Linked DNA regions of Struthio camelus. The protein of the gene in region 2 interacts with the protein of the main gene of each other region in a biochemical or structural test. Links are inferred from orthologs where the notes say so. Each region holds a gene or a part of one and is shown on either strand. Other genes may lie near its edges.

Region 1 (7,423 bases), on a different chromosome or scaffold from region 2:
ATAAATTATTTAGCTGTTTTGGTGTAGCTTCTGTTTGGCTCTGCCTGACCGTATCCAGATATTACTACAGAGAAGTGGCTTAATTCTGGCCAGCTATGTCCAACAGCATCTTTATTCTAGCTGAACTGCATATTGCTGAAAATAGTGGTAGTGTGATTATAAAAAAGAATTCTTCCCTTTATGCAGTACTTATCTAGCATTCAGTTTATACTGCTACCTTTTAAGAGTACTCAATAAATTGAAGAAAATGAGGCCTATTCCTTGTATTAAAGTTCCAAATCCAGACTGTGGCTTCAGTTACATTTGTGATAGCCCTTTAGGCCGAATGACTTTGTGCTGATACAAGCGAAGATAAAGTTTGTTCATAAATCACTATTCAGTTTTTAATAAAATAGAATTTATATTACAGCTTGGAAGACTAACTGTAAGAAAACTATCATTAATGGAAAACACATTGTTCTACCATTTTAAGCCAAGAATCAGATGAAAAAGTAACTGTTTTGTTTATTCTGAGCTTTCTTGGCAGTCCTGCTTTGTGAACCTAGTTTTTGAATCCGCAAACCAGTAGCGTCTGATAGAGAGGATCTGAGCAACTGTTCATTTATAACTTCAAGAACAATCTATTGGCGATGGGAGAACATAAGGTGGGGCACTGGGGCGTGACAGTCCTGATGTAGTTTTGCCTTGACCTAACATTTTGTGAGGTGTTGCAGTTGTGTTTAATTCATCTTAAACTGGGCAACCCAATCAAGTTATGTTTATATTCATCATGCCTAATTTGAAGTTGACATGCTTCCCAGTTGTGTTAGCAAGTAGAATGTGTCACCAGCCAGCCAGATTATCATACAAAAGTTCAGTGCATCATCTAAATAGAACCGTTATATTCTCTGCGATGTGATAATCCCTGTTTTTTTTCTGCAGAGTTCTTTGCAACAGAACCACTGGAAAGAACTGGAAGAGAGTCGGGAAAGACAGTTCAAGATCCTTCAGCATGGCTTCATGGCCAGAGAAACAGCTCAGAAAATGGCTGCATATGAGGCAGCAAAAAATGGAGCCACAGTTTGTATACTGCGATCTGAAGTAAAATAAAATTCATTTGGAAAAAAATCAGACTTGCTGGAAAACTTCTCCCAGTGTGCCCATATACTACAAGGTTGAATTTTAACCTTTATTTCATCTTTACAGTTTGAATAGCACAACTCTGGTCATACAGGCACATTTGAGTCAAAATTTGTTATTTTTTTGTCATGGAATTTTTATTTTTAATCAGTAATGACCTATTTTTCCAGTTAGAATCAAAAGCTGTAAGAAACTGAGCCCTTGCAACTGAGGCTCCTGTGGCAGAATGACAAATATCTGGATAAGAATGCTGTCTGTATTTCTATTATCATTATATATTATACCATGATTTGCTACATTCATCTTCCTAAAGAATAAAAATTAGGAGAAAAAAAAGTACAATGTTTGTTTACATATGTATTTTTTCAGAAGGCACGGTCAGCCCAAGTTCCCAATACATCATCTTACCTGGCAGTAGCAGTGCATAGCAGGACCACCAGTTTCAATGCTGGTTTTAGAGGGTGAGGGGAGAACTGATGGCATACAGCAGCCAGAGAGTAGACTAACTGACCTAGACATACTGTTCCTATATTTGCAGAGGTGAATCTTTTTTGTCTTTGAATGGTGGAAGGAGAACATAACATTCTTTGATCTCTCTAAGGAACTGCTTCCAGAAAAAGGCAAAAATCTGTTACTCACCTAGAAGATAATTTGCCCTCTGTGACAATTTCTATACTGTGTAAAAAGGCCTTCAAATCACAAGATTTATTCTAGGCATAAAGCCAAGGAGGATATAAATCTGGATTAAAATCTGCACAGCAGTAAGACTATGTAATGTATTTCTATTTTAAATTTGTGCCAGTTACTAAGTGTTTAATTATGGCTATTGCAAATATTTAAATTGAATGAGACTGTCGCTGACATTAGAGTCAGGCAGCTGCTTTTAATGCTCTCACAACATTGTATTTCTCACTTTTTGCTGAAGGAAATCTAATGGAATTCTTTTGTTGCCATCTAGCTGTGAAGATTGCTTCCACAATCTGCAATGCTGACAAAATGTGCTGTATTTTTTGTTCATTCTGAATGCTACAGCAGTTCAGGAAAGCAATGAGATTCATGCAGTAGCTCAGTAGGAAGAGTTAAGGATCCTAGGAGAGTGGGAAGAAGGAGTGATAGATGTAGAACTGCGGAGAAGTCGGAACTATGACTCTGTGTCTAGTAGAGGGTTGGAATAGCTTAAAATGACAAGCATTTGGTTCCACAGAGTTTATTTTCCTTTGTGTTTGTCCAGCACCACGTTGTGTTGTATTCCACAATGACAGAGCGAAGTCTGGACTTGAATGCCTCGGTTTTCCAGAAGCTAGCAAATAATAGGACTAACAGTCACGGTCTGGGATTTTTCACAGCTGACTAGTACCTCTGAAACTTTTTGTTATACCATGCATTTTGAGAATTAAGAAAAGAAAGATTAATCTTTAGGCAAATAGACAGGCATATCTACGAAAGGTTTTCAAATTTCAAAAATTTATCATACTGCATGCTTCTTCCTCTGGGGTGTTGGACCCAGTCTTCAAAATTCGGAATGAACTGCAATCAAGCTGAGTCGTAACTATTTCCTTCTCCATGTTCTCCCCAGCTCTCAAAATGAAAGGACTGAGAAATAGAGCAATCTTAGTAGTTCAGCTGTGGAATTCAGAAATAGCCTCATTCTTGCTACTTTAGGACCTAATGCGTGAAGTCATTTTATAAGCAATGTTTCAAGGAATGTAAAAGAATGAATCTTTTGGGAAAAATATCAATTTATTACTTTTTTTATATAGGTTATTGATTTTACAGCGATGGGAGGTCTTGCAACAGAATACACAGAATAAAATCAAAGATACTACATTCCTCATGACATGGTGCACGGAAACCTAAGGTGATCCAACACACAGCCGGTAAAGGTCCCACACGACTTGTTAGCTTTCTGTTACAAAAGTAGCTGTACTGCTGTTGGAGCCAACTTAGCTTTGAAGCAATGCAGCTGCATTCACTCTGTGCTGCCTCAGCTAGTCTGTGGCACAGATAATCCACAACCTAGTTAATCCACACACAGGTAAGTGAGAGCTGGCAGCGCACGTACGCTCATCACACTTTGCAGAAACACAGCTACATGAACGATCCCTATGAGTCACTCATTTATGGATTTGTTACTGCATTTGTCTCCAAGATGATGAGGGCAAGTGAAGAAGGCTGAGTCTTAAATAAGCTACCAAAACACATTTACAAAATCAGAGGTTTCACCTGGGTATCAGAGGTTTCACCTGTGTTAGTAACAGAATCAGAAAGAAACCCCTCTAATGTCAGGAGCTGCACTTTCCAGAGTCACGCAGATGAACGTGAGGCATCTTAATACAGTGTGAACGACCAGATACTACGTCCTTTCACGTGGAGCTGCAGTATAACTAGGCCCAGGTTTACTGAGGAAGACCACGGGATGTTAGCATGCTGTGCAAGCTCCAGCAGCAGGTAACGCCGTCACTGCCACCTGGGACTCGGCTCCGTACGCCAATCCAGCCGGCAGCCTGCTGGCGGCCTGGGGTCCAGCTTCAGCGCCCGTCCGGCTGGGTAATCGGATCGGTCGCAGACAGCACAGGGAGAGATGGTGTAGTTATTTAAATGAAACCAAAGACGCGTACGGGCTGCTGCGCCGGAATTGCAAACACCTCGTCGAGGAGCGTTCAGCCGGCGGCGAGGAGAGGGCAAGAAGTGCCAACGCACAACGCCGCCAACACGCAGCCAGGCAGGGGGCTATTTAAATCGACGAAAGGCCAAGCGGTCCTCGTGCTTGGAAAAATAACTTTCGATAGGGAGGCAGAGGCACAGAGATACCATCATAAGCGTTTATAACGAGTTAACGCAGAGTGAGGTGCGCACTAAGCGCATCTAAGGCAACAGGTGGCTCGCTCCCAAGTTCATGCTTCTGATGCGCTTCTGTCGGTCCGTTCAGAAGCACAGCTGGGTGACTGCCATTTTGTGGGGGGAAAAACACCCAAACCCCCGACTCGTACTGCCTTGCTACACCCGCCCAACACGGCACGACCTGCCCTGAACGTCCCGGCAGACGGACAAACACCTGCCTCGGCCCCTTCCCTTCAGAGCCGCACAGACCCCAGCGGCTGGGGAAGGTTTCCGAGGAGCAGCCGCCGCGCCTGGGCAGAAGCCCTGGAGACCCTCGGGGGCCGCGGGCCCGGGCAGCCCCACCGCGAGGGGCCGCGCCGCCCCCGAAACTACAACTCCCAGAACACCCCGGGGCCGGATGAGGGGGCGGGGCCGCCCGCCGCCAGGGCTTCCTTGACTGACGTGCCCCACACCCAGTCCGAGAGCTGCAGCTTACGGTTTCGCCAATGGTAGGAGGGCAGGAGGCGGGCGCTGCCCTACGCAGTTGCCGGGCCGGGCGCCGAGGGTGAGTGTTGCAGGCCGGGGGGCTCCGCTGTGGGGGGGGTGGGAGCCGCGGCCGGGCAGCGGCAACGGCGCCCCCGGGCCTTCCCCGCCGCGCTGAGGGGGCCGCAGGTGAGGGATGGAGGCGGTGGGGGTGGGGGGCACCGGGCCCGCTCCCGGCCGCCGTGGGGGAGGAGCGGGCCGGGCCGGCGCCGAGGGCAGCGGGGGCAGCAGGGGCCGCTTCCCCCGTGCGGGGCCGCGCCAGCGCCTACGGGGCCGGGGTTGGTGGGGGGAGGGAGGCGGCCTGGGCCCGGCGCCGCCGCCTGCCGCCCCCGCGCTCCCCGCGGCCTGTCGTCCCTCCGCTCGTGGCGTCCCTGTCGCCCTCCCCTTCTCCCCCCGGTATCTCGTTGGGTTTGGGGGTTCCCCCCCCCACACACACACCCCCCAGCTTCGCTCCGTCACTCTGAGGGGCTGCGGCCCCGGGGACGGGCCGTGGCGGCCGCCCGCTGCCGCTGGTGACAGCCGGGGGGCGAGCCCGGCTCGGGGACGGGCCTGGGGCCTGGCCGGTGTCCCGGAGCGACCGGCGAGTTGGAGGGGGGGGCGGCTCAGGGGAGCAGGTAGGGTGCGGGGGGGGGGGGTTAGGCCACCCCCCCGTTGGGTTACCGCAGAAGCGGAGGTGATGTTTCTCCTCGAGGTCTTGTTCCCTCTACCCCTACGTCTCCACGCCGGGCTCTGCTCCGTTCCCCTTTCTCTGCCCTCCTCCGGGGCTTTGGGCTGTGAGCCATGTCCGCTCTCTGGGATAAACAGCCGCGCGTAAGAGGAGCGAGGAGCGCTTCTGGCCGGCCCTGGCCGTTTGCAGCGTTCCTGACATAGAGCATCTGGCCAGCTGGAGGCTTCGGCTGTGTTCTGTGCTGTGGGTGGTTTTCGTTTGTTTTTGTTAGGCCGCCCGTAAGCGTGTGTCCTATTTGTCTGTAGATGTAGCTGGCCGCTTAGAGCGGGTCGTAAGTAGTAGGTTGTGCCTCTCTCATCTCTAGTCTTTTTATAGTGCCTGTCAGTGAGGTTTTGTAGTATGGGACTGCTTGACCTAATTTGGATAAAACATAATACACTCTGTTTCTGTTTTTACTAAAGTTGGTGAAGAACCTTTTTTTTTTTTTTCCTCATCTCTAATGGTAGAGAAGATGCACGTGATATGGAACTTTTGGAAGAGTAAAATGGCAGATTATTTTTCCTGCCATATGACAACAATGCTAACGCTTTGCCATAGGCATGTGCTTCTTCTGATCACAAAAAAACGCTTCTAGATGCTTAGCCCTTTGATACTGTCTTTCCTGTATTAAAAGTGCAGTGAGACATCTTAAAAGTGCAAATGAGAAGCAAAGTCTTAAAGGCATAGCATGTTGTATTTTCTTGGCTAACGTGGTGTATTTTGTTTTTGACACCTTTGCCTTGTACAGACCAAACGTTTACTCTGAAACTGTTGCTTTATTCAAATGTTTTCTTTAGAATATTTCTAATGCTTAGGATGTTCATGAGGTCAAGTTTGGTCTATATTAGTCAGACACGGTAAAAATGCCTACTTCTTGTTTGGGCTGATTTGCTTCAAACCATAGTGAGCCTGTGGGAGCCCAAGACTTTGTTTTCAGAGTGGTGTAGGAAAAGTTTTAAATGTATTTTTAGTGAGTTAAAAGCTAAATTCTAACATGGTAAATTCAAATTGAATTTGGTGAAAATATTAGCTTGGGGGGAGGGATTAACGACTTAAATCAGGCATAGGGGAATCAATATTCTTTCACTGCTAATGGAGACATTCTTAATTTAGGTGAGTTTACCTGTACTTTTCTCAAGTAGTTACCTGTTGAGAGAGAGAATGGTGGATATAGCACTTAAAATCCCGGTAGGTTAGCTAGAATAAACCTTGAACTTTGCTGTTATAAGGACATAACAGTCATTAGGCCCTTGGGAGGGTTAAGTGATAGGAACAATAACTGTCTGTGGAGAGCTCTGTATGAGAGGAAGGGGAGTGGCTTCTCCTGGTTATATATCATCCCCCAGTGATACAATAAAAATCCTATAAAAGTTAGTAATATTTAGTGGCTTATCAAGTTGATCTGTTAAGGTTTTGCATTTAAAAATCATTGTTTTTTATTTTAAATTTAAAAATCTTAATCTTAGAATTTCTGGATTGGTATCTGAATGCATCTTGCTACAAGTATAATAGATGAGCTACTAACAGCTTCAGCTGGAGTTATTTGATGCTTTTGGGGGGTAGGAGGTGCAATAACTCCGTTCCTGGTATCTGATTCTGAGAATCTTGATGCTGAGTTTCATAGTGACTGCTGGAGGAGGACCATATAGACGTTATTACTGAACTTGGACTATTCAGGACTGTATACAAAATACTGTTAAATTGGGTGGTCCTGGGGTTTTGAGAACCCTCGAGGAATTTTTTTGATAGGTAGATCTCTAAATGTGAGAAATTTGAAACTGCTTTGTTTATCTCTGTTCTTAAACACTGCTAATTTGATCTGCAGTGTTTTAAAGAAGGCAAGTTTTGCTTTATTTTTCCTATCCATTCTTGCAATTCAGAGAAGTGATCTTTGCAGTGGAATTTCCCTAGTAAGCTAAGAGCGTATTTGGAAATATGTAGCCCCACAGAAGAGGTTTGTTTGTTCTTACGAGAAAAGAAGTTGCCGGATCATAAGATTCCTTCCATAACTTTAATAAATTCTAGCAGTTTGGTTTTCTTTGAGTATAATTCTTCTGATTTGGCAGGTTCATCGGTATTAATGCAAGCCGAAGATGATTTTTAAAGTCCTTTTACAATTTTGGGCTTTTCTATAGATATCCATTCTTAACACTTTCTCTTTTGGAAGAAGCTGACAAAGAGGTTAAGATGTGAGCCTTTAGCCCGTGGAAGAGCACAGGAGTGTTAGTGTCTCAC
Region 2 (7,318 bases):
AAACACAACAACAAAAAAAGCAATAAACCCCTTTTCTTATAGCATTAATTTAGTGGCTTTCATTCACGACCAAATAAAAATCAGGCTAAACTTTGAACAGACATTTGTTACAGTCGTTTCCATTGCATGTTTTCATGCTTGCGTGCCTGCAAATGGCTGGGGCTGTTTTTCCAGACCATTTTATGATATGTTATGGACCCCCGCTGGCCTCTAGAGCGCAGGTTGCGGAACAGCGCTTTGGCTGTCAGACACTGCTGTCTTTCCCAAGAAGTGAAAACGGCCGCTGCAGCAGGCAACACCACCAGGTAGTTATTTCTCTTTTGCTGGAACCCCGTAAATAAATACCGTATAAACTGAAGGGTATTTTGAGGGGAACTGGACAAATTCATGGAAGAAAAATTCCCCTCTGGACGATGGTATGCGGGAACTCCAGCTCCAGCTCAGGAAATCCCTGGGCCGCAGCTCTCGGGAGGCTGGGGAATATCTGGGGGCGTTTGCACCGCTCGCTTGCCTGTTCCTACATCTGCTCCGGGCAGGCGGCCCCTGCAAGAGCTGAATGGCCCGAGGGCTTGTCTTGGGATGGCTCTTGCCGGTGAACCCTCCTTTGTGGGTAATGGGCATTTCTCTCGGAAAAGCCTGACAGAGCTGGGCAGCAGTACGTTTGCCGAATGTTGAACGTTTGCATGTGGTTCAAGAACCTCTGCAAAAAGTAATTTGAAATGTTTAAGCTTCTAGTGTGGTAAGCGTGTGAGCCTGACTGTGTGCGTGCAGCACCATCTACTGTATTACAGAGATTTTGGTTTTCCTCCTTCCCTGGAAGCGGGGCAGCGTGTGTGCTCAGCGCACATCTGTACCACAACTGCCATGCCCAGCACGGCGCGAGCCCGTGCCTTGGCGGAGGGCTGACTGGGAAGGCAAACGCTGCCTATGTTCACAGCAAGCGTACGAAATCCTTGGAGAGGGAGCGTACGCAATGAGGAGGGCACATTAAAATCTGACCGTACAGGCTTGCGGAGGTCCGGCTGCGACTCACACCTGTGAGCTGTCTGAAGCCCACGTGGGACTAAACATACTGCTTTCCTTGAACCCGCATTCAAGAATCGCTGTAAAACTCATGAAAAATACTTGTCGCGGGTTTGCAATAACTTCAGCGCTCTCCTCTCCCTCTGTCCGCTGGAGATACAGTACCAATGCCCTCTGCCGACATGAGAGGATATTGCCTCCCGGGATGTTGCCAGAAGAGATGGAAAGGCAACGCTTAGCTAAACCAAAGCGCCCTTTGGAGCCTTCTTCAGGATCTGTACCGTTATCCCCAGGGACCTGGGCAAGCTCCTGTCTGGGACTGAAATCACCTGGCCAGTATTTGGCTCCCGGATACCTGCTAAACACAAGCTCTCCCACCACCTATGAAGCCCCTTTTCACGGCAGGGTCCGATCTGGACGGAGCGGCTCTTTCACCAGAAGGAAGGGGTTTTTGCAGCCGGGGGGAGGGAAGCGGCCACGCGGCCAATTGACAACCTCCAGAGCTGCCCGCATGGCCAGAAAGCTCCCTGCACAAGGCGAGGCGGGTGGGGATCAGCCCCTCCATGATTGCCGGCCCGCGCAGCCCGGTCGCAAGGACGCAACGGTCCTGTCAGGTCGGAGCAATAACCCATCCGGCTCAGCAGCCTCTTTCCACCGGTGGCCGCCAGCAGGCGCCTAGAGAAGAGTTGAAGCAGATACGGAGCGATACCCCCTTGGGAGATTTTCTCAGGATGCCAAGATTGGTAACTCAAGATCTTCCTGAGCCACAGGCGCTGTCCTTCAGCGGAGGTCCTTGCTGCTGCGGGTATGCCTAATGCCGCCTTCCCCAGCCCGCGCCAGACGTTAGCCTCCACCACGTCCCACGGTAGCGCGCCCCACGCGTACGCGTCGCTCGTCTCAACCCGCCACCTGCGACCGCCGGGGAGCTCGCGGCGCTTGCAGCAGCCAGCGACCGCTCTGCCGGCCCTCTCCTCGCCGCCGGCGAGTCCCGCTGCCTCCTCCTCGGGCTGCCGAGCCCCGTACGGGCGCCCGCCGCGCCGCCGCACGTCCTCGCCGCCCTCGGCTAGGCCTTGCCCGCTCTGCCCTGTCCCCGAGGGGCGCAGAGCCGCCCGCCGCGACCGGCACGTGGTCAGGGCCCGGCACCGCAGCGCTGCCGTTCAACCCGTCAGCCCTGGTGCTGCTGCTGCCAGGGGGCCGCCAGCCTGCCGGAGGGGCAGAGCGGGGGCCGCGCGCCGCTCCTCTCGCCTGCGCGGGGGGGACGGCCCGTCCCGGCGACAGGAGGGTTTAACGGGGGGCGCGAGTCCTCGCTGTGACCCCCCTCTTCTCAGATTCGCTGTCTGCAGAGCGGCCGGCGGACACCTCCTCACCTTGGTTATTCGGGATGGCGGGGCGGCGGCGAGGGGCGGGTGAGGGTTACGGACAGGCCAGCCCGGGCCAGGGTCTGCCACTGTCGGGGTCGTCACTGGGGGCTGGGGGGCGCATACCTGAGGGGGACTTTTGCTTTTACGCGGAGGCCTCGAAGCCACCTCATCAGCATCTTCTGCGAACCGTAGGGACCGCGCCAGGCGGTTTTGTTTCGACCTTAAACCCTAACGCGTTATGATATCGTGTCTTCTTCGAGGAAGGACCGTGCACCATGTTTGAGTTCGACTCACCAGCTACAAGTCTATCGCTTATCGTCCTGCCTTCGGTTACCAGGGAGGAAAGCAGGCGGTCCCCGGCCGGGACGTCTCTTGCAGGACCGCGCGGCCGCCGGTGAGAGGCACCAGCTCCGCCGGGCGTCCGGGCGCAACCGGAGGGCTCACGAGGAGAACGGCAGAGGGCCACCAGACGGTTCGGCAGCCCCTCGGCCGGTGCTCTGCCTCTCCCTCCTCGCGCTCGGCCCCCCCGGTGAGTCCCACCGGCGCCCTGTGCTGGGCTGCAGCACCCGGGGTGCTCCTGTCCCCCCGGGGTGCTCCTGTCCCTCTGGGTGCTCCTGTCCCCCCCCAGGTGCTCCTGTACCCCCGGGGTGCTCCCGTTCCCCCCAGGTGCTCCTGTCCCTCTGGGTGCTCCTGTCCCCCTGGGTGCCCCTGTCCCCCCGGGGTGCTCCCGTCCCCCCCCGGGTGCTCCCGTCCCCCCCAGGTGCTCCTGTACCCCTGGGGTGCTCCCGTCCCCCCAGGTGCTCCCGTCCCCCCCAGGTGCTCCTGTACCCCCGGGGTGCTCCCATCCCCCCAGGTGCTCCCGTCCCCCCGGGGTGCTCCTGTCCCCCCGGGGTGCTCCCGTCCCCCACCCCCCCCCCGTGAAGCGTCGTGGTGACTCATCCTCCAGGCACAGGACCATCGGCCGGACCCATGGGTTCAGCCTCGAGGCGTTTCCCGCCTCGTCGCCTAGAGCATGAACTGCCAGGGGGGCAACCAGCGCGTTGCCCCAAGTTTGGGGCAAGCCCGGTTGGGGGGGGGGGGGCTCTTTCCAGAGGAGAGGTCACAGAAGCAGCTAAATCCTGTTGGCCCGCCGCGAGGTGCAGCCGCGAGGTGCAGCTCGTCCTCGGCCGCTCAGGCACCACCGCTCCCCAGGCCAGCGCAGGGGCAGCCCGGGCCCCCCCACCGCCCCCGGTCCCATGGGTGCAGCCCCAAAAGCGCTCCCGGGCGGGGGGCTCACCCGCACCCCCCCCCACACACACAGGCAAGCACACCACACACTCGCACACACGCTGACACGTGCACACCCCCCCACACACACGCATGCACACACAACACGCTCGCACATGCACGCCCCCTACACACGCGCACACAGCACACCCAACTCGCACACACGACACATGCCCGCTCACACAGACACAGGCGCACCCCCCCCACACATGCACACGCTCGCACGCGCAAACAACACGCGCAACACTCACGCGTGCACACTCCCTGCATGCAGGCAACCCCCCCACACGCGTGCACACCCCTACGCACACTCACTCATGCACACTCCGCACACACATGCACCCCGCCACACACACACTCCCCACGCACGCACACCCCCACACATGCACACACCTCCCCCACACGCACGCACCCCCATGCACAGTCCCACATGCACGCACACCCCCACACGCACCCCCATGCACTGTCACACACACACGCACACCCCCCCACATGCACACCCCCTACACATGCACACACCCCCCCCACATGCACACCCCCATGCACAGTCACACACACCCCCCCCACACGCACCCGCCCACTCCCACTCGCCCCCTCCCCCTTCCCCGCCGCCGCCACGTGACCCGCCGCCCCCCCGCCCCGCCCCCATTGATACAATGTAGCAAAGCGGAACGTTCGAGGCGCCACCAGGCGCGCCGAGTCGACGCCCGAGCGGTGGATCCGACTAGGCGGCGGAGGCGGGGAGGGGCGCTCGGCGCTCGGCTAGCGCACCCGGCGGGCGGAGGGACGGGCGGACGGACGGAGGGACGGGCGGACGGGCGCGGGTCGTGTCGGCGGGGGCGATGGCGGAGCCGGCGGAGAAGCTGTACCGGGCGGAGTACGCCAAGAGCGGCCGCGCCTCCTGCAAGAAGTGCGGCGAGAGCATCGCCAAGGACTCGCTGCGCCTCGCCCTCATGGTGCAGGTACCGCGTGGCGGGGCCGGGGCCGCGGGGCGGCGGCGGCTGAGCCTCTCTCCGCCCCGGATTTATCGGGGGGAGGGAGGGAGGGAGGGAGGGAGGATGAGTGCGGCGACTTGCGCGGCTCGCGGGGGCTGCCCGCGCTGCGCACCGCGCCTGCGGAAGGAGATAAAAATAAACACACAAAAAATAAACCAAAAACCCCCCACCCTTTCCCCGCCCCCCTTTTGGGGGCAGGCGGCGGCGCGCCCAGCTTCCCCCCCCCCCCCCAGCGCCGGGGGCGTGCGCGGCGGGCCGGAGGAAGAAAAACAGGGAGAAAAGGGGAAAGAGCAGCGTCAGCAGCCGTGGCGCCCACCCCCCTCCCCACCCGAAACCACCCGTCCTAACCGCCTGCTTGCAAGTCGTTGTCCCCCCCCCCCCCAAAAAAAAAAAAAACCCAAAACTGCTGGTTTCATGTGGTCCCTTCTGCCGCGGCTCCCTCTGCCTGCTCTGGGCCAGCAGCGCTCCTCGGACCGTGCTGCCCCTCTTCCCGCCCCCCGGGAAGCCCCTCTCGGCCCCTCCGTCAGCGCCTTGCGCTCCTGCTGCCGCGGAAGAAACCCGAGGCAGGCGGCAGCTCCCGCCGCGGCCCCCTCCTGCTGCAGCCGTCCTCGCCTTTGGGGGCTTTCCCCCCCAGGGAGCCCTGAGCCACGCCGGGGGGCCCGGCGCTTGGCGGGGTTGCTGGCACCCGGTGCCGCAGCCTCAGCTCTTGTCCAGCTTCTGCTTCCAGCTGGCACTTAGCAATTTGTGTTATCTGCACGTGTGACGAGAAAGCACTCCTGGCTCCCCTTTTTTCCCCGAAGCTTGTTTAGGAAACTGTGGTCTGGAGATAGGTGCGCTGGGAGAAGCTGAGTAAACAAGGTCGGGCTCGCCTGGAGGTTTTGTTTCCCAGGCGGAGTGCAGTTGTGCTCCAGGCGCTCGGCGGTAGGGGAGGGCTCCCCACCGCTCGCGAGGTTGTCCCCAAGGGTCTGTAAGCTCTACCCCCTCCTGTGCACCCCTGTGCCTTACCCCCCCCCTCCCCCCCCCAAAGCCTTCATGGGGGGAAAAGGCTGTGGCTTGACTCTGGTGCCACGAGGGGTCTACCACAAAAATGCTGGGTGCCTTTTCTGCAGCTAAGGGATGGCCAAGCTGTGGTGTCACGGGGGGTGCGTGAGGCTGCCCAGCACACCGAGAGCAACTCCCACGGGGCTGCTGTGCCCTGAGGTTACTGTGCCGTCCAAATCCCTGCTCACGGGAGGAGCCCGGCAGCTGGAAACGTGAATGCCCTTTCACGGTTTTGGCGGGAGGTTAGGTGGTCATCCAGGGCTCCTGGCTCTCCTAGTGCCATGCTGTGATCCTCAGAAGCCCTTTCCTCCTCCGTCCTGCTCGTGGGCAAAGCTTTGCTGTTGCGTTTGGTTCTCCTGTCCGTAAGTGGTACGCAGAAGGCTTTCCTAGTTCATTAATTCTGTATCTTTAGTAATAAAAATAATAGTACAGCACTGTGTGTTATTAATACAGCCATTGTTTGTGTACATCCCTCGGAGCCAAACCGCTAAGCCGTTATTTTGTCTGATTGGTAACCGGAACGATGTCGGGTTGGTACTTGATGTGTCTGAGTCATGACCGAGCAGCGCGCTTCCCCGGCGAGGCTGGTACAAGGCAGGGTGCTCTGGATTTGCTCTTTGGGGAAGGAGTTAGGTTGTGGTTCTGTCCTGATGCAGAACTTCTTTGGACTGTAATGTTGCTCTGAAGTTTTGCCTCTGCCTCCTGCAGCTCCCTAGGCAGGAGGCTGTAGTGGATAAATCCCCCGGAAAACAGCGCTTGGCTTATCCACTGTCTTTGTTTCGATTGCTCATCCCTGCCGATGGCCTGATTCTCATTGAGAAGAAACCTCTCCTTGTCTGCTCAGGGTTGGTATAGCCCTGCTGAGGCTACAACCTTTTTTTTTTTCGAGTAATGTGGAAGGGCTAAACAATAGGGTGACAAACTGCTTAAGCTGGGTAGACTCTCTTTCTGCATGTATCCCCTTTGAGTCCTCTCCCCAGGCACCTCGTCTGTCACGTTGGATTTTCTTCCTAGGCTTTGTCCTAAATTGCAGATATCTTTTTAATTGGAAAAAAAAAATTACTTGTGTTTACCCAGATATTTCAATTTTTATCTCCCTTCCCCCCCCCTCACCCTCCCCATGATGCTGTCTGACTGGCTTCATCTTGGCCTAATTTTACTTTCTTCCTAGTCGCCCATGTTTGATGGCAAAGTCCCTCACTGGCATCACTACAGCTGCTTCTGGAAGCGGGCTCGAATTGTGTCCCATACGGACATCGATGGCTTCCCTGAGCTCCGATGGGAAGATCAGGAGAAAATCAAGAAAGCCATTGAAACTGGAGGACCTGGAGGAGGTAAGCAGAGGTGGTGTTGTGATGAGGCCAAGCAGGTGTTCAGAGGTTCAACAGGAAGCGTGCTTTCTGTTGTCAAGCTATTGACAGATTACAGTTAGGTGATTACCCTGTCCCTTCAGGAAGTGAGGTGGGCAGAATTGCCATGGTGACGGCGCACCGCAGACTAGGAAGCTGGCAATATGGTCTAGCCTCTGAAACCAGCAAGGGAAAAACAAGGCAGTTGGCAGATGCATTGACAGATATTCTTGTTTTCATGCCTGGTGTATTTTGGTTTCAGTTCCTTAACGTTAACAAATGC
Region 3 (7,009 bases), on a different chromosome or scaffold from region 2:
CCTGAACTGCTGATTAAGTTTTACTGAATACAACTGGGAAAAAGTTCAACCACAGCTGGACTTGACCTCTGATATTTGTGCCTACCTCTAGCCTCTCTTCTGCAAGACTGTTGTTACAATGTCTTAGAAGGGTCCAGGGACGCTGAAGTAACTAAAATTGGTATCTTCAGGCAGTGAGTGCTACACACTTATTACTATGCAAGTAAACACCACATTAAGTTCTCCCTTCTCTTTTCATATTTTAAAGTAAATCAAGAACTGTCTTGGGAGAGTAATTTTCCTGTACTCCTGGGGACTCACTTTGAGTTTTGTGGCTCCTGCATGACTCTAAGATCGTAAGGAGCATCCAGCATAAAAGGATGTGGAAAAGGAGAATTGTCAGTTCCGGAGCTTGTCACTTTCTTTTTCAGAGCATCTAAATATCTTACATATTTACATGGCATGGGTCAGCGCCTGGTGAACCTCTTCATGAGGCTCAGAGGCTTCAGTACCCTTGCAAGAACAGACAAGTATCCAAAAAAAAACAAAAAACAAAAAACCCCACCACTCATCTCTTGTCACAAACAAAGTAGATGTGCAACTGAGACTGAAAGCTCAGTTTAGAATGAAGATCCCATTAGAATCTGCTCAAAAGGGAATCAATCTATTAACAAATTTCTAACATACACTGTCTAGCAGCTCTTCAGTAGAGGAATCGAGACATCTTGATCAAACTGCTGCTCCGCAGGAGCTTGAGATACGCTAAGCACAGATTGGTCATCTAAATATATATTTTGGTCTCAAAAGTAACTAAGTAGCAGGAAAGAGTGAGATATTATAGTAGGTAAACTAGATCTTCAGAAATAAAACTGAAGAACTCATATCCTCACTGCTATGTTTATCTTCCTCCACAATTTATGCATTTTTAATTTGCAGTAGTAGTTTCCCAGTAGCATTTTGTCCAAATGCCTAAGTTTAACGTTTAGCTCTTGCAATTTCTAGCAAATGCAAGATGTTACTATTAACTTGAAATAGTTAAAACCTGAAAAAACAGCTCTTATTAAAACCAAAAACCAAATGAAACCAAAAAAAACCCACTAACACATCTGATTTATTTCCTCCACTTGAGAAATTTATTGCTATGGAACAGAACTGAGGTCAGAACACATTAAAGGGATGCATCACTGGAAAGAACACATTCTTCTGCCCTGGAAAAATATATAAACCTTATCTTGCAGGGGCCATGCAAGCACAAGAGGTCCATCTCCACGTTCCATTTGGTTTTGCACTCCACTCCACTCTACTCCCCTCCTTCTTTCCCCCTCCCCCCCCACCGCATTAAAAGGCAGAAATGCCTCTTTTATTGCTATCAAAACATTAGGAAACGAACAGAAGCTTCAAAACTTATTTTGTAGTTTGCCTCTGCTGCTGCTGCTACTACTACCCACTTTCGGGGAAAAAATAAAAACAAGAACCACACACACCAAAATAAAACCAAAACATTTATCGTAGGAGTGAACCGGCTGTGTTCCATTACAGATCATAGCTACTTATATCCTCCAATAGGGGAGATAATAAAATAAAAATCTATTTCCAAACGTAAAAAGCAAGTCTCACAAAGAACAGTTCTGCTGCGGGAAAGCAACATCTACTACACACAGAGTTCTGACCTGTGGCAAGTCCCTAAATACATGAACAGCATGCTCTTTAAACGTCAAGAACTTGAACTAGTTCCTACTCATTTCAAACAACCCTAAAATAAACTTAAGACTCCTGGCCTCACATTCCCGCTCTGTGGGTTGAATACTAGCACAAGAATAAGTTATAAACTGGAGTAGCTTGCCCAAGAACTTGAAGACCTTTACTTTTCAGAAGAGCAGAGAAAGCCCACGGTTGTGATTTAATCAAAACAGACCAGCGCCGCACTGGGAGAGAAAACCGCCTCCTGCGGCAGGGGAAAGGGCAAAAGGGGTTACTATCCCGACACACACGGCCACCAGAGCCGCAAGCAGAACAGCCGAAGGAGCGGCGCGGCGAGAGCCCTCGGTCCGGACCGCCGCAGCAACGCCGCCCGCCACCCGGCCCCGGGCGAGCCGAGCGGTGCCTGCGCTGGCCGCGGGCCGCCCGCCTGCAGGGCCCGGCGGAGGGGCCGGGGCGGCGCCGAGGCCTGCGCGGGGCAGCTCGGCGCCCGCCGGGACCCAGGCGAGCGCTCGCCGGGGCGGGGGCCGCCTCGCGCAGGCCCGGTGCCGCCCAGCCCTCCTCGCCGCGCTCGGCCCGCGGCGGCCGCGGCCTCCGGCGGCGGCCGCGGGGCGGCGGGCAGCGCTGCGCTGCGCTGGCGGGCCCGACCGCACGGTCTCCGCAGAAGCCGCCCGGCCCCCGCGCCCCGCGGCCGCCCGGCCCGTCGTGCCGCGGGCGGGGCGCGCCAGGCCGGGCCCCGCTGCCCCGGAGCCGCGGCCGCCAGCGCGCCGCCCCAGGCCCCTCGCCCGGCCAGGCCTCACCGTGAGCGGCCGCAGCACCCGCGCGTGTCCCGGATTGAGGCGGCAGCGAGTGACCCGGATGTTCCCCACTCGGCTCCCCCCCTTTGTCTCTGGCCCGGAGTTTCCCTCCCTCTTTCCTCGGTGCAGAGCGCGGCACGATGGCGTGTCCCTCAGGCCGACCCGTCCGTGCCGCTGCGCCGGCGCGGTATGACCCTGAATCCGACCCGTCCGCCACGCTTTACGCATCCTCGTGACACAGGACCCGAGGCGCCCGGAACAATGCCTGAGTAGGGAGCGCAAGGGGAAATCCCGGGGGGAGGGTCTCTGAAGCCTTCTTCGCTTCCTCTTGCCTCTCGCCTCCTATAGCCCCGTCAAGAAACGGAGTGAATTTTTACCTCGGGCGCTGGGAGAGTCACCTGCACCCTAATTTGGCCTGGTCCCTCGCAGGGCGCTAAAGCCGGTGCCGCAGGCCGCGCCTGCCCCGGGACGCTCTCGAGGCCGACAGGACCCAACCCGCTGTGAGCAGCCGGGCCTCTGATTGGTGGTAGGAGGCCCCGCCCCTAGAGGGCCTTTCACAGGTGATTGGCTGGCTGGAGCGGCTCGTCAGAGGGGGCGGGGCCTCTGCCCGGACGCCGGCGGGGCCGGCAGCTCCGAGCCTGGCGGTTGCCGCCCCGCGTCCCGCCTGTAGCTCGAGCTCGAGCTCGGCCCGAGCCTGGTTTTTGTCTGATGCTTAAGAGGTAGATAGATGCTTTATGTACCGTGGTCGTTTCCTTTTTTTTCCTTGGTTTATAAGAACGCATTTTTAGTGGCATGTAGGCCATGAATCACATTCTGCTCCTCTGTTCGTTTTTTTTTTAATTTTACTGAAATTTAAATGATGTTTCAGTCCTCTAGCTAAAGCCTCACTGTGGTCTCTCTGTGTTAGTGGTTCTTGCATTACCTCCTATATAGCGCTTAAATTTAAAATTGTATCTCATCTTGGGAGTGCTAAAATTAACTTTAAAAAAAAAAAACCCACCTATATTTGACTTTGTCCTAATCCAAAACATGTGCTTTGTTAGAAATCTCATTGCCCGACATCCCAGCTAGTGAGTAGGCAGCGGCAAAGAGCAAGCAGTTCATCTTAGATGCATTAAAATGCCAGTTGGAGGACTTCTGTTTCTCTGTAGCCCTTGACATCTGGGATTTGGTTGCAACTGGCACTTAAAGCTGGCAGGATGAATCTAGACCTCGTTTGAAATTTTTGTTTGTGCTTTGCTCTGCTTGGCTTTTAAAATTCCAACTTAAAATTTTGTTAGATTTTTTACGCTCCTTGAATCACTGTAAACATGATAAACAATATGAAGACATAAGTTGTTTTTGAGAAAATGAAAGGGTATTGCCCAGAGAAAGGGAATAACCTACTATTCATGCCTGTAATGGAGGGGACAAGATGTCAACAGTATAAACTGCAGCAAGAAAAATGAAGGTGAGGCATTAAGAAAATATTTAATGGCAAAGATGCTAAAGCATTTGATTGCCTAATGGGTATGGGAGGGGTGTGGAGACTTCATCAAAGGAGGCTTTAAAAGTAGGTTAGACAACATGTGCTGCAAGTTCCTGCCCTTGGTCAAGGGCATGAGCTGAGTGGTATGTCTCAGCCCCCTTCTAGGCTTTTTGTTTTTATGTGTCTTTAATTAATTCATTGTCTCATTTAATCTTGTCAGTTTTGATTCCTACAGAAAGGATGGAGAGGACAAGTATTCTTTCTGGTTTTCACCTCTCTAGGCTGGTCTCGAGAACTGTTGAGCTATCAGGACAGTAGTTTTTGCCTGATGTAGTAACATCTTTGCGTTAAATCTCAAAAGTTAACTAGGCAATATTTTAAAGAGATGGCATTCCCAGCATAGATGCAAAACAAGGAAGAACTGTTTCCAGAGCTTCCACAGACATATTTGCAACAACTATATGTCATTAAAGAAACCTCTCATTCTGGAATGGGTCTGAGTTTGTGCTTGGAATCCCATGTCTCCCAGGTGTAGGGAAAGAGTTGAAATCAACTTTTCAGCCTTTGGATTCACCTCCGCTGGCCGCATACACCTTTCCGTAAAGGACTGACCTTAGGTTGGAACATCTCCCTGTTGCAGCAAGGAATGCTGAACGAGATCATGAGGCAGAACAGGAATAGTGGCACATCACAGAACTGTTTAAGAATGCAAAATAATGATTTCACCTTCATATAAACAGCCCAGATCCTTGAATCACTTGCCCTGTTCTCATCATGTCCTTATTTAGCTTATCTCCGTAACGGAGTTACTTAACAGTAACTATGTTCTCTTTGAATGAACAGTCCCTATTCACATTTGTGATTCAGCCAGTTATGTATCACAAGGATGCAAAATAAGGATACTTACCTTTCTGTGGGTCCTTGCTCTTGCATAGTTCTCTTCCTGATGCATGGATACCTGTGGCAGCATCTGCCTTAATTGCTTTATTCCTTTCAACTAGTAAATGCTGGAGTAGAGAGGGAAGCCAATTAGCAGATGCATGTACAGAAAATACATCGTGAACAGTCACAAATGACTTGGGGAATGAGGGGGAGTCTCAGAGTTCTTCAGGAAAACACCAGATGCAGATTGCTTCACTAAACAGTTACTGAATGCCATCTCAATGGCATGTCACTTGGTGAAAACATACCTGGGATGTCTGGTGGCTTCTTTGCAGAAGTTTGGAATTGAGATATTTAGCAAGGCTCTGTAAGAACATAGTAGTGGCTATGCCTAATCAGACTACAGGTCACTCTAGCTCAGGAATCACTACTAGCTTCACTACTAGCTTTTGCTAGTAGTGAATACCCACAGTAGGAACAGGACAAACATGTACTCCCCTGTATACCTTTCTGGTATCCAATCATTTGCAGTATAGAGTCTTCTAAGCTGAAGTATTATCTTTGCATTTAAGATGAAACTTTGGTAGCATGGTCCTTAAGGTACCAGGCAGATTCACTGTATTGTAGTACATAGATTTGCCAGGGTTTTTCATGTTGCCTGAATTTGCATCCTCCCACATTCAGCACTGAAGATTGTCACCGTTGATCTGAATGGATGTGGTGGAGGAAATGACATTTCTGTGCAGAGGATTGGAAGGACATTACCAGAAGCAATGCTCTTAGAGAAAACTATTAACACCATGCTTATAGCATTTATCTTATGTAATTGCATGGATTGCAGCCTCAGAGAATATCACATAAATACGGGACTATCTGTTTATAACTGCCAGGCAAGACTTCAGCACGCTGGAGGGTAAATTTGCAGGGTCATTTTCATCTTCCTGATATGAAACTTCCTACCAAAAGGAGAATAAATTCCAAATATTATAAAAGATCCGAGTGGAACATTAATGACTTACTTGGAAGTGTAGGATGATCTCTTTTGGGTGCCCTTTATTAACTGGTTTCTGGTTTGGGATACAGTTATCCCTTTTAAGTTCTCACTTTTGCCAATTTGTGAAGACACTCGAAGCTACAAATACGGAGAATAGGAATTTGGATTGGAAGTAGTGCTACTTGACTGTAAAGTGCAAATACTTTTAGGAAGAAAGCCTGACAAAATATGGAAATATGTGCTGAGTAGTTAATTTCTACTAGACTAATGTCTTTACTTGTGACATTCTGGTAAAATTGGAATGTTATTAAAATGCAAGAAATCAGTTCAGTAAAATGATACCAAAGTCCTGGATATATAAGGAAAAATTAATCCATTATTTGCATTTAAAACTGATTAAAACTGTTAGCATGAAATTAACCTCATACTTAACTGTACAGACTGTAAGCTTTTAGAACTCACAAGTCTTAGCCGCTCATACACAGTTCTTATTAGCAGTTTGGAAAATAAGAGCAATCCAGTTGATTTCTCAGTACTAACACTGAATTATTATCTTTTCTATACTTGTGAACAGCTGTCTGAGCTGTTTCAGGTACTTAACCATTTACTTCTTTCAGCAATTTATATCTTCAAAACTTTTGCAGCAAATGTACTGAGTGGCTTCATATTTACATCTCCTGTATTATACTGTATGTCAGCCTTATTATAAAGTGTTGATTTCAGTTAGCTTAATTTTTCAAACAAAAACCATTTACGTTAAAAATCGAGGTATTCTAAAAGAAATGACATTTTTAGGCAGGCTCACTTGTGAGCTGTATGAAAGAAAATATGCAAAATATTTAGTTAAACCTTGGTATATGGCTCTTTTGTGATTACATATCCATGCTGGAGGGAAGAATTTCCTACTGTAATGGGCAGCAACAGTAAACACGAAGGAAAATACCTTAATTGAAAATACCTTAATTTCCCAGTGAATAAGTATCTGAATAAATGTGTGTGTGTGTGTTTTTTTTTTTTAATAACTAAGGCCAATGCCTTAAGAAAGGCATTGGGGCTTAAGAAAAGGATGCATCTCCTTTACAAAGGAAAAGGTATTACTGCTTTGAATCACTGCACAAAAGTGAACTACAAACTGCATTTTATATCTGAAGTGCTAAACAGGGAATATCAGCAGTGTTGCACTGTTAACGT
Region 4 (7,137 bases), on a different chromosome or scaffold from region 2:
AAAAAAAAAAATCCAGAACTCTCCCTACATATGCAGGGCCTTTTAAAAAAGGCATCAGATATTTTAGGCTATGGAGTGATATTAAAAGACTATTAAAGAGGGAGAAGGATGTTCCCATGAGAACAATGCCTCCAAGATTCCATTTGGAGGCTTTGCCAAGCATTCTCCCATGATTACAGCCAGTAGCTGCTTTTGCTCTTGCTCTAGTACTATTGATTTCAATGTTTTGATAAGCAGTAAAACTATCTGTCTTCACAAATTCACTCCTCTTGCTGCTGTGGAAACTCAAAAGGCCTATAATTTGTCAGTAGATTCAAAGACCATACTATATTAGAAGGCGATTTTCCACCAAACTAAGAACTAGAAATTATTTCAATTGGGACTAATGCTAGAGTCTGGTCAGATTGACGATTGAGTTCTCTCACATGGCAAGCGGCTTTATGAATGTGCAAGGCAAGCTTATAAAGGACATTAAAAAAAAAATGCAAGTTGCACGAGAATGTACTTGATAGGCACCCACGATTATTCCTTCAGCGTCCTTCCTTGTTTGTGGAAAACGTCAGAATTCCAGAAGAAAGCTCAACTGCTCCATAGTAAAGAGCAAAAGCAGGGATGAGAGATCAATAAGTCTCTTTTCCCCAACCTACCCTCCACTCTTGTTTGCTGATTACACTTAAGAAAAAATGCATAAAGTCAGTTTTCTGTGGAAGTTAAAATAGTAGTCTTACAATTTCCTAGAGGGAGGAAAAAAAAGATGATGATGACATGGATGAATTAATTTTTTAAAGCTACTGTTTAGTCCAGAAACATTTCACAGCCACATCTGCCTGTGCGGGAATTAGGCTGTAAAAAGAATATCATTTTATTTTCTCCTTTCTCATGAAATCTGTCATTTAATCTGGAAACCCAAGAGATGTTAAAGAACTTCACACAAATGTCATTGGCTGCAGTTTAGATTTTTTGGTAGCTGAGATGTGTCCCAGAATACCTTTGATGTGAGAAAAAGGCAAGTAACTTTAAAGAGGAGAGAAAGGATGTTTAACTGCTAGAACACGAGGATTCAGGAGATGTGGATTCACTTCACTGCTTCGCTAGATACCACCTGCGTGATCCTGGACAAGTTCAGTTCCTCTGTCGTTATTTGCTCTATCTACAAAATGGAGAGCGTACTGGACTCTCAGAACTACTTCAAGGATAAACAGCATATTTGCAAAGATAATTACAGCAAGGCTGTGAAGCACTTCAGTCGTGCAGTAACGGGGAAGTCACATTGAGCACAGCAGATACTCCTACGCTGCTGGTCACTTGGGACCTTAGGTACGTACAGTGGAGTTTGACCCAATAGTTTTCCACAGTTTACATTTAGAAAGGTTTAAGACCTAGAAGGATGATCAGATTTGAACAGTAACAACAGAACAAGTTAGTTTCACACAAAGAAAAATGCATCATCGAGGCTTAGATCTGGATGACAGTACGAGCGGTACTTAGATCACATTAACTACTGAGGTTATTTTAACACTAAATTTTAAGTCAGCTCCTTTCCCCAAGGAAGCCTTGCATCTGAGTGGCAAACTGTGTCACTCAAACATCTGCTAAGGAGGCAAGCGATGAAGTCTTGGAAACATACCTCCTCCAGAAGCGTCCTGGGCTCAGCTCAATTGAGAGGGGCCAAATACTAGGGAGAGGAGAGACCACAGGGACTCCTAAAATAGACTCTCCACATCTTATTTTTTGCAACCATCTAGCCACATCCTTACTTATTAGCTAATCCTGCAGGTGCTATTAACAATTTCTGTGCGTTGAAGTCACGCAGTAAACACCCTTAGCGCCAGCTTCGCCATGGCACCGTTGCGTGCAGTCTGCTCAAGCGCAGCGAGTCGCTCCCCTGCGCTGCCGCGCGCTGACAGAGCAAAACAGAGAAGTCCCAGAATCAGGGAGAGAAGAGTAAATTGGGACTCCGAGAAGGGAAAACAATAATAATAAAGCAGAGAGCGGGTCCTATTCTGCTGAACCTCCTTTCCGCAGGAGGCCTGCTGCGGCGCACAGGACACTTTGGAAGTACGGTACAACTTCAGGTACGCTTGCTTTAAAAACGCTTCATTTGGAAGCGCCTGGGACATACCCGGGAAGCTCCATGCCGCGCAGAATCAAGGGGGGAAGCTTCCCCCCCCCCCCGGATACCTTCCGCTCCTTCCCCACTTCCACGCTCTGCCCTCCGCGGAATCCCCCTCCCCCGCCGTCGGCCGGAGCCGGCACAAAACCGGCCCCGGCGGCTGGACAGCTCCGCGCCCCGCGGCCCCGCTCCGCGCCCGGCGGGCACGAGGCGCCTGGGGGCCCCGCGCGGGCGCCCGGCGGGGCGGGGGAAGGGGGGGGTGGGAAGGAGCCCCGCGGAGGCGGCCGGGAGAAGCCACCTGCCTTAATTAATTACTCGTAATTAATAAGGGGAGCAGCGCGGCCCACGCCGCGGGGAGGGAGGAAGGGGGGGGGGGGTGGACCCAGGGGCAGGCTCGGACCCGCCGGGCTGCGAGAGGCGCCGGGCAGGCCCCGGTTGTGGGGGGCGGGGGCTGGGCCCGGTGAGGGGGCCGCGGCCGAGCCCGGGAAGCCGGGGCGGGGCCGGTGGCTCCTGAGGTAAAGTGTGTGTGGGGGGGCCGGTCCCGGGGGTGCCGCCCCCCCGGCTCTCGCCGTCGCACCGCGCCGCCCTCCCCGCCGCCGCCGCCCCCCTCGCCGGGAACCGCCGCCCCGCGCGGCCCGGCCCTGAGGCCGCAGTCGGCGGCGGGGCGGAAGACGGGGGAAGGAAAGGGGGGGGGGGAGGAAGGTGCCGCTCACTCACTTTCGCCTCCACCAGCTCCGCCGCCATCTTGGCCTCCAGCGTCCACCGCGCCGGGAGCCGCCGCCGAGTCACGTGACGCCCGCGGACGGACGGGGGGCGGGGAGGGGCCGCGGGTGGCGCGCGCCGCCCAATCCGCGCGCGCGCGCGCGCCCTTCTCCCCGCGGGCCGCGGCGCCGCGGCGCAGGCGCACTGGCCACGCCCCGCCCGGCCACGCCTTCCCGGCTGCCTTAAAGGGGCAGCGCCCCGGGAAGCCGGGAGGCGGCAGCGTTACCGGAGGAGGGGGCGGCGGTGGGGGGTGGAGCAGCGATGGCGGCTCCCGGGGTCGCCGCCCTTCAGGAGGGGAGCCGGTGGGGAGGGGTGTGCCCACGGTGGGGGGGGGGGCAGGGAGCGATGCGCAGCACCCCCAAAATGGCCGTGGGGCAGGCAGGCCGCACCAGGCCCCAACCGGGGTACAGGCCCCAACCGGGGTACAGGCCCCGGGGCCAGCGGGAGCGCCCTTGGCGGCCTGTCCTGTGGCCTTGACCCCTGCCCGAACCTCCACGCGCTCCTTCGAGGCCCGGGCTCGTTCGTGGGCACGGCGGTGGCCTGAACCGGAGGCGCCTGCCCGCGTCCGGCTGCGGTCACCCCAGGGAAGGGGCAGGTTTTTTGTTTGCCCCCACTTCTGAAAATGGCCTAAAATACGGGGACGTTGGGTCTGGTCACCTGTAGTTTGCCTGGAAGGTGTTTTCTGGGGAGCAGGCAGCTGAAACAGGCATTTCTAAGGTTAAAAACCCTCTGGAGGGGAAAAAAAAACCCAAAGGAACCTGACAGCTTGTAGATCCCTCCTCGTCAGAGGAAAACAAAGGGCACAAATCTAATTCTCCCTCGGCAGCAGCCTCCACTTGCTTATCTCAGGCTTTGCTGTTCAGTCGCAGGCCTCAGAGCTGCCAGACGCTTGCGCATACACCAATAACGAGCACTCCGCTTATTCCAGGGGCCGTTAACCCCCTGCCTCTGCTCTGAGGGACCAAGGCCTCCAGAAACTCCTGTGATGCTGTCACCCGACACGGCGCCCTCCCGAGCACGCGGCGTTGCGTCGCTGAGACACCCGGCGCTGCAGCTGGGAACCGACCGCCCCGTGGTGACGGCGCCCCAGAAACCCCCAGGTCAGTGTCTCTCTCCATATTTCTAGGTGCCCAGGGAGGAGCTGATCCTCCAAGAACCCGTCCCTGCTAAAAACGCCTTATGTGTAGATAGAAATGAGTTCTCCCCAGCTGAAACCTGCCTGCAAGTCACTCTTTTCCCGCTGGGATCTGGGTGCTCCGTTTCTAAGCGTGAGGCCAGGAACGAGCGCCCAGCACAGTCCCTTTCACGTGGGCCGAGCAACTACATCCAGGCAACTTCAGGCTGAATTACCAGGAGACAACAGAGAGCCCCTGGGCACCTGCGCGCCTGCGGGCTGTGATGGCCCATCACGCCCGGATGTACACGAGAGGGGACGGTCCCCGAAGACCCCGTGCCGTTGGAGGAGACGGAGGCTTTCCAGCACTTTCCCCTTCTTGTCATCAGTCCCCCAGGCCAATTAAACAAAAAGGCAATGGGCTAGTTTCCCAGGCAGGCCAACATGTTAATCAGGCTCCCCAGCCTCCCCTTCCAGTCTGGCAAAAGCCAGCATTGGTGCTAAAAAATTCAAACGGTTGCTGTGGCAACCCCAACAGCTGATAACTCATCCTGTCACAAGGGGAGCGCGGGGCTCACAGCCTCCCGGGGCCAAGGTGATTCCTGGCGTAGCTCCACCGGCAACTCCCTGGGCACCGCAGATAGTGGAGGGGACCGGTGGGCTGGGGATGTGCTGGGAATTTGGCAGCGACCTGAGCTGCCTGGCGAGGTGGCTTGGGGACAAAGTGGCTTGGATTTATTAGAGGTTTTTTTTTTTTTTTAATATGTTGCAGCTGATGGAAGTAAAGCAACAGTCTTCTATGATGCTGAAGAGAAGGACGTAAAAAAAGATGCAAAATATTTATGGTATGGAGATGGAGAGTTGCATCCTGCTGTGCTGTGCTGTGGAGTCTCTCTTTACTTGCCCTCGCTCTCAGTCTCCTTTTAATTTGATCTTAGCTCAGGTAATTCTCTTCACCGCGTAGCGCTTCAGTTTTCCCATTTGCTAAAACAAAGTGAAGGGATTTTGGCCTTTGTTCCTGCACTGGAGATGAGGGAGTCCTCCTAAAACTGCAGACTGGGTCTTCTCTCACCCTGTGTAGTCGTTCCATGTCTTTCCATCGAATTATCCCTGCTTCATCTCTGCCGGAGCATGAGGAATCATTTGTGTCAGTCTGAGACCGTCTGCAGGATGGCTGCTCGTTACTGTTGCTCTAAAAGGTAGAATGTGAACACCCAGTGATTTTGCAGGGCACTTTGAGAGACAAAGAACATACACCCATGGCTGAACCAGCATGTCAGGCCCTTCTTAGAGACCTCCTGGCGTAGGAGCGAAGTTTGGAAGAGAGCTGTGGGTTCGTGAAGCTTTACCAGGGACAGCCGATGGCGAAGATCTTGCGCGTGTCAGCTACCAAAGGAAGAGCAAGGCAGCTGGATGGGTGCTTTTGGCTCACCAGAGGACTGGCTATGGCCCCTGGGGTCCCAGCTGGAGTCGAGCAGCTCTGCAGATCCTTCCTCCAGCTACACCCCTCCCTCCGCATCCCGCTCAAGCCAGGCGTGGCTTGGGAGCGCGGCAAGGAGGTGCGTGGCCTTTCCAGGGCTCCTACAGCCCGTACCCCTCGTCCTGCCCAGCGCAGGCGCTGGGGGCCCGTGCCATCGCCAGCCGTGCCAGCCCCCGGGGCGGCTGGGGACGCGGGCCAGGCCCTCCGGCCGGCGGCAGCGGGGCGAGAGCCCCGGCCTCGCGCGCGCCTCGCCGGCACCCTTGCTGTCGTGGTGCAGTGGCGGGAGCCGCCCCGGGGACACGGCTGGGGACATCGGCGGGCGTTGTGGGGCACGTTTCGGGGATGCAGCGCCCCCCGGGGTGGGGGGGGGGGAACCGGGCACGCTCGGCCCCGCAGCGCTCCCTCCCCGCCCGCAGGGGGCGCTGCGGCGCTGCCCCCTCCCCTCCGCCGGCCGGGCTGGCGCATGCGCAGCGCGGGGGCCCTGCGGAGGGCGGCGGGGGGGGGGGCAGGAGCGGAGCGAGCGACCGCAGAAATGGCATTTGGGGACGGGGACGGCGGGGGCTGCCGGGGGCCAGGCAGGGCCTGCAGCGAGGGCAGGGGATTGCAGCAGAGCTCTGCAGCGAGGGCAGGGGACTGCAGTGAGAGCAGAGGCCCTGCAGTGACATTGCAGTGCAGGCAGCAGCCTTGCAGCGATGGCCGGGCTTAGCTGCAGCCCGCCAGGCGCCGCAGCCTTCCCTGCATGGCTCTGCCCTTGCTGCCTCCCTGCGAGGGGGCGGCTGCAGTCCGCCCAGGGGAGCCTCCCCCCCCCCCGAAAGCCTCGCGCAGGCGGTTCCCCCTGCTCTGTCCTCGCTGCGCGCCCGGCTGCCAGGTCTTCGCGTGAGGGCATAAAGCATGTGCTGCAGCGGGGGTTTGTTCGCACTTTGTTCTCGATAGGTCTCGCTCTGCAGAGCACGGGAACCCGAGGTGAGGCACTGTCGCCCTGATCCTGGAGGCCACGACAGGATTTCGCACCCCGGGCAGGAAGCCGCGTGCCACGAGTCCCTGCAGGTGCAGGGGCCACCGATGCAGGACTCGGATCACAGCGCTGATGAATCGGCCCCAAATGCTCTGCAATTTACAGCTGAGCTCACCAACCGCTCCTTAATGCTCGGGATGCAAATCAGCGCAGCCCCTGGAAAATCAGGGAAAAAGAGAGGAAAACTTAAGTTTTCCATAGAAAAAAAAGAAAACGTCACCTGCATTTTTAATGCCAGCAAGGAATTGCCCACAGATTTTAAAAGCAGAACATTCACCTGCTTTAATTGTTCGTTTTCTTTAATTTGTTGTTACCTCTTTTATTTCTCTGCCCTGTACAGACCAAGGTACATGCTTCGCTCTGCCGTAACATGTTCTCGGGGTAAGAGCGAACCAAGAAAGGCTTCCCCCAGGGTTCGGTTGCTCTCTAATGAAATCAGTGGCAGGGTTCCTGCTGGCAGGAGAGGAGCCCTCACTGACTTTGTAGCGGCTCCTCGAGCGCGTGGCATGACTGGGGACGACGTGAAGGCGGTGACAGCAGCCCCGGCAGCGCACAGCTTTCTCTCGTGGCGTGTTTAACGGCTGGCGAAGCCCCTGGGAGCGAGCACCATGCCGGGGGCCCTGGGGCCAGTGGTGGCAGGCACCAGTGGCCCC

What was found.
Region 1: the proteins of PARP1 (region 2) and RNF4 form a complex in vitro, tested with the Homo sapiens proteins (2 studies listed by BioGRID and IntAct, with this or other methods). The link is inferred for Struthio camelus from reciprocal best matches to the Homo sapiens genes PARP1 and RNF4.
Region 3: of the proteins of PARP1 (region 2) and UBE2I, one has a biochemical effect on the other in vitro, tested with the Homo sapiens proteins (4 studies listed by BioGRID, with this or other methods). The link is inferred for Struthio camelus from reciprocal best matches to the Homo sapiens genes PARP1 and UBE2I.
Region 4: of the proteins of PARP1 (region 2) and PIAS4, one has a biochemical effect on the other in vitro, tested with the Homo sapiens proteins (3 studies listed by BioGRID and IntAct, with this or other methods). The link is inferred for Struthio camelus from reciprocal best matches to the Homo sapiens genes PARP1 and PIAS4.

Annotation. Positions count from the first base shown.
Region 1 is NC_090945.1:77,249,535-77,256,957, reverse strand, and holds the start of RNF4 (E3 ubiquitin-protein ligase RNF4), read left to right. Parts: upstream 1-4,419; 5' UTR 4,420-4,504; intron 4,505-4,516; exon of another isoform or gene 4,517-4,611; intron 4,612-4,687; exon of another isoform or gene 4,688-4,697; intron 4,698-7,423. Other genes in the region: CFAP99 (cilia- and flagella-associated protein 99), read left to right, coding at 922-1,089. UniProt on the Homo sapiens protein: E3 ubiquitin-protein ligase which binds polysumoylated chains covalently attached to proteins and mediates 'Lys-6'-, 'Lys-11'-, 'Lys-48'- and 'Lys-63'-linked polyubiquitination of those substrates and their subsequent targeting to the proteasome for degradation.
Region 2 is NC_090944.1:125,658,184-125,665,501, forward strand, and holds the start of PARP1 (poly [ADP-ribose] polymerase 1), read left to right. Parts: upstream 1-4,297; 5' UTR 4,298-4,492; coding exon 4,493-4,612; intron 4,613-6,857; coding exon 6,858-7,020; intron 7,021-7,318. UniProt on the Homo sapiens protein: Poly-ADP-ribosyltransferase that mediates poly-ADP-ribosylation of proteins and plays a key role in DNA repair.
Region 3 is NC_090956.1:243,439-250,447, forward strand, and holds the start of UBE2I (SUMO-conjugating enzyme UBC9), read right to left. Parts: upstream 3,013-7,009; 5' UTR 2,852-3,012; exon of another isoform or gene 2,478-2,851; intron 1-2,477. UniProt on the Homo sapiens protein: Accepts the ubiquitin-like proteins SUMO1, SUMO2, SUMO3, SUMO4 and SUMO1P1/SUMO5 from the UBLE1A-UBLE1B E1 complex and catalyzes their covalent attachment to other proteins with the help of an E3 ligase such as RANBP2, CBX4 and ZNF451.
Region 4 is NC_090967.1:4,285,458-4,292,594, reverse strand, and holds the start of PIAS4 (E3 SUMO-protein ligase PIAS4), read right to left. Parts: upstream 3,011-7,137; 5' UTR 2,858-3,010; coding exon 2,831-2,857; intron 1-2,830.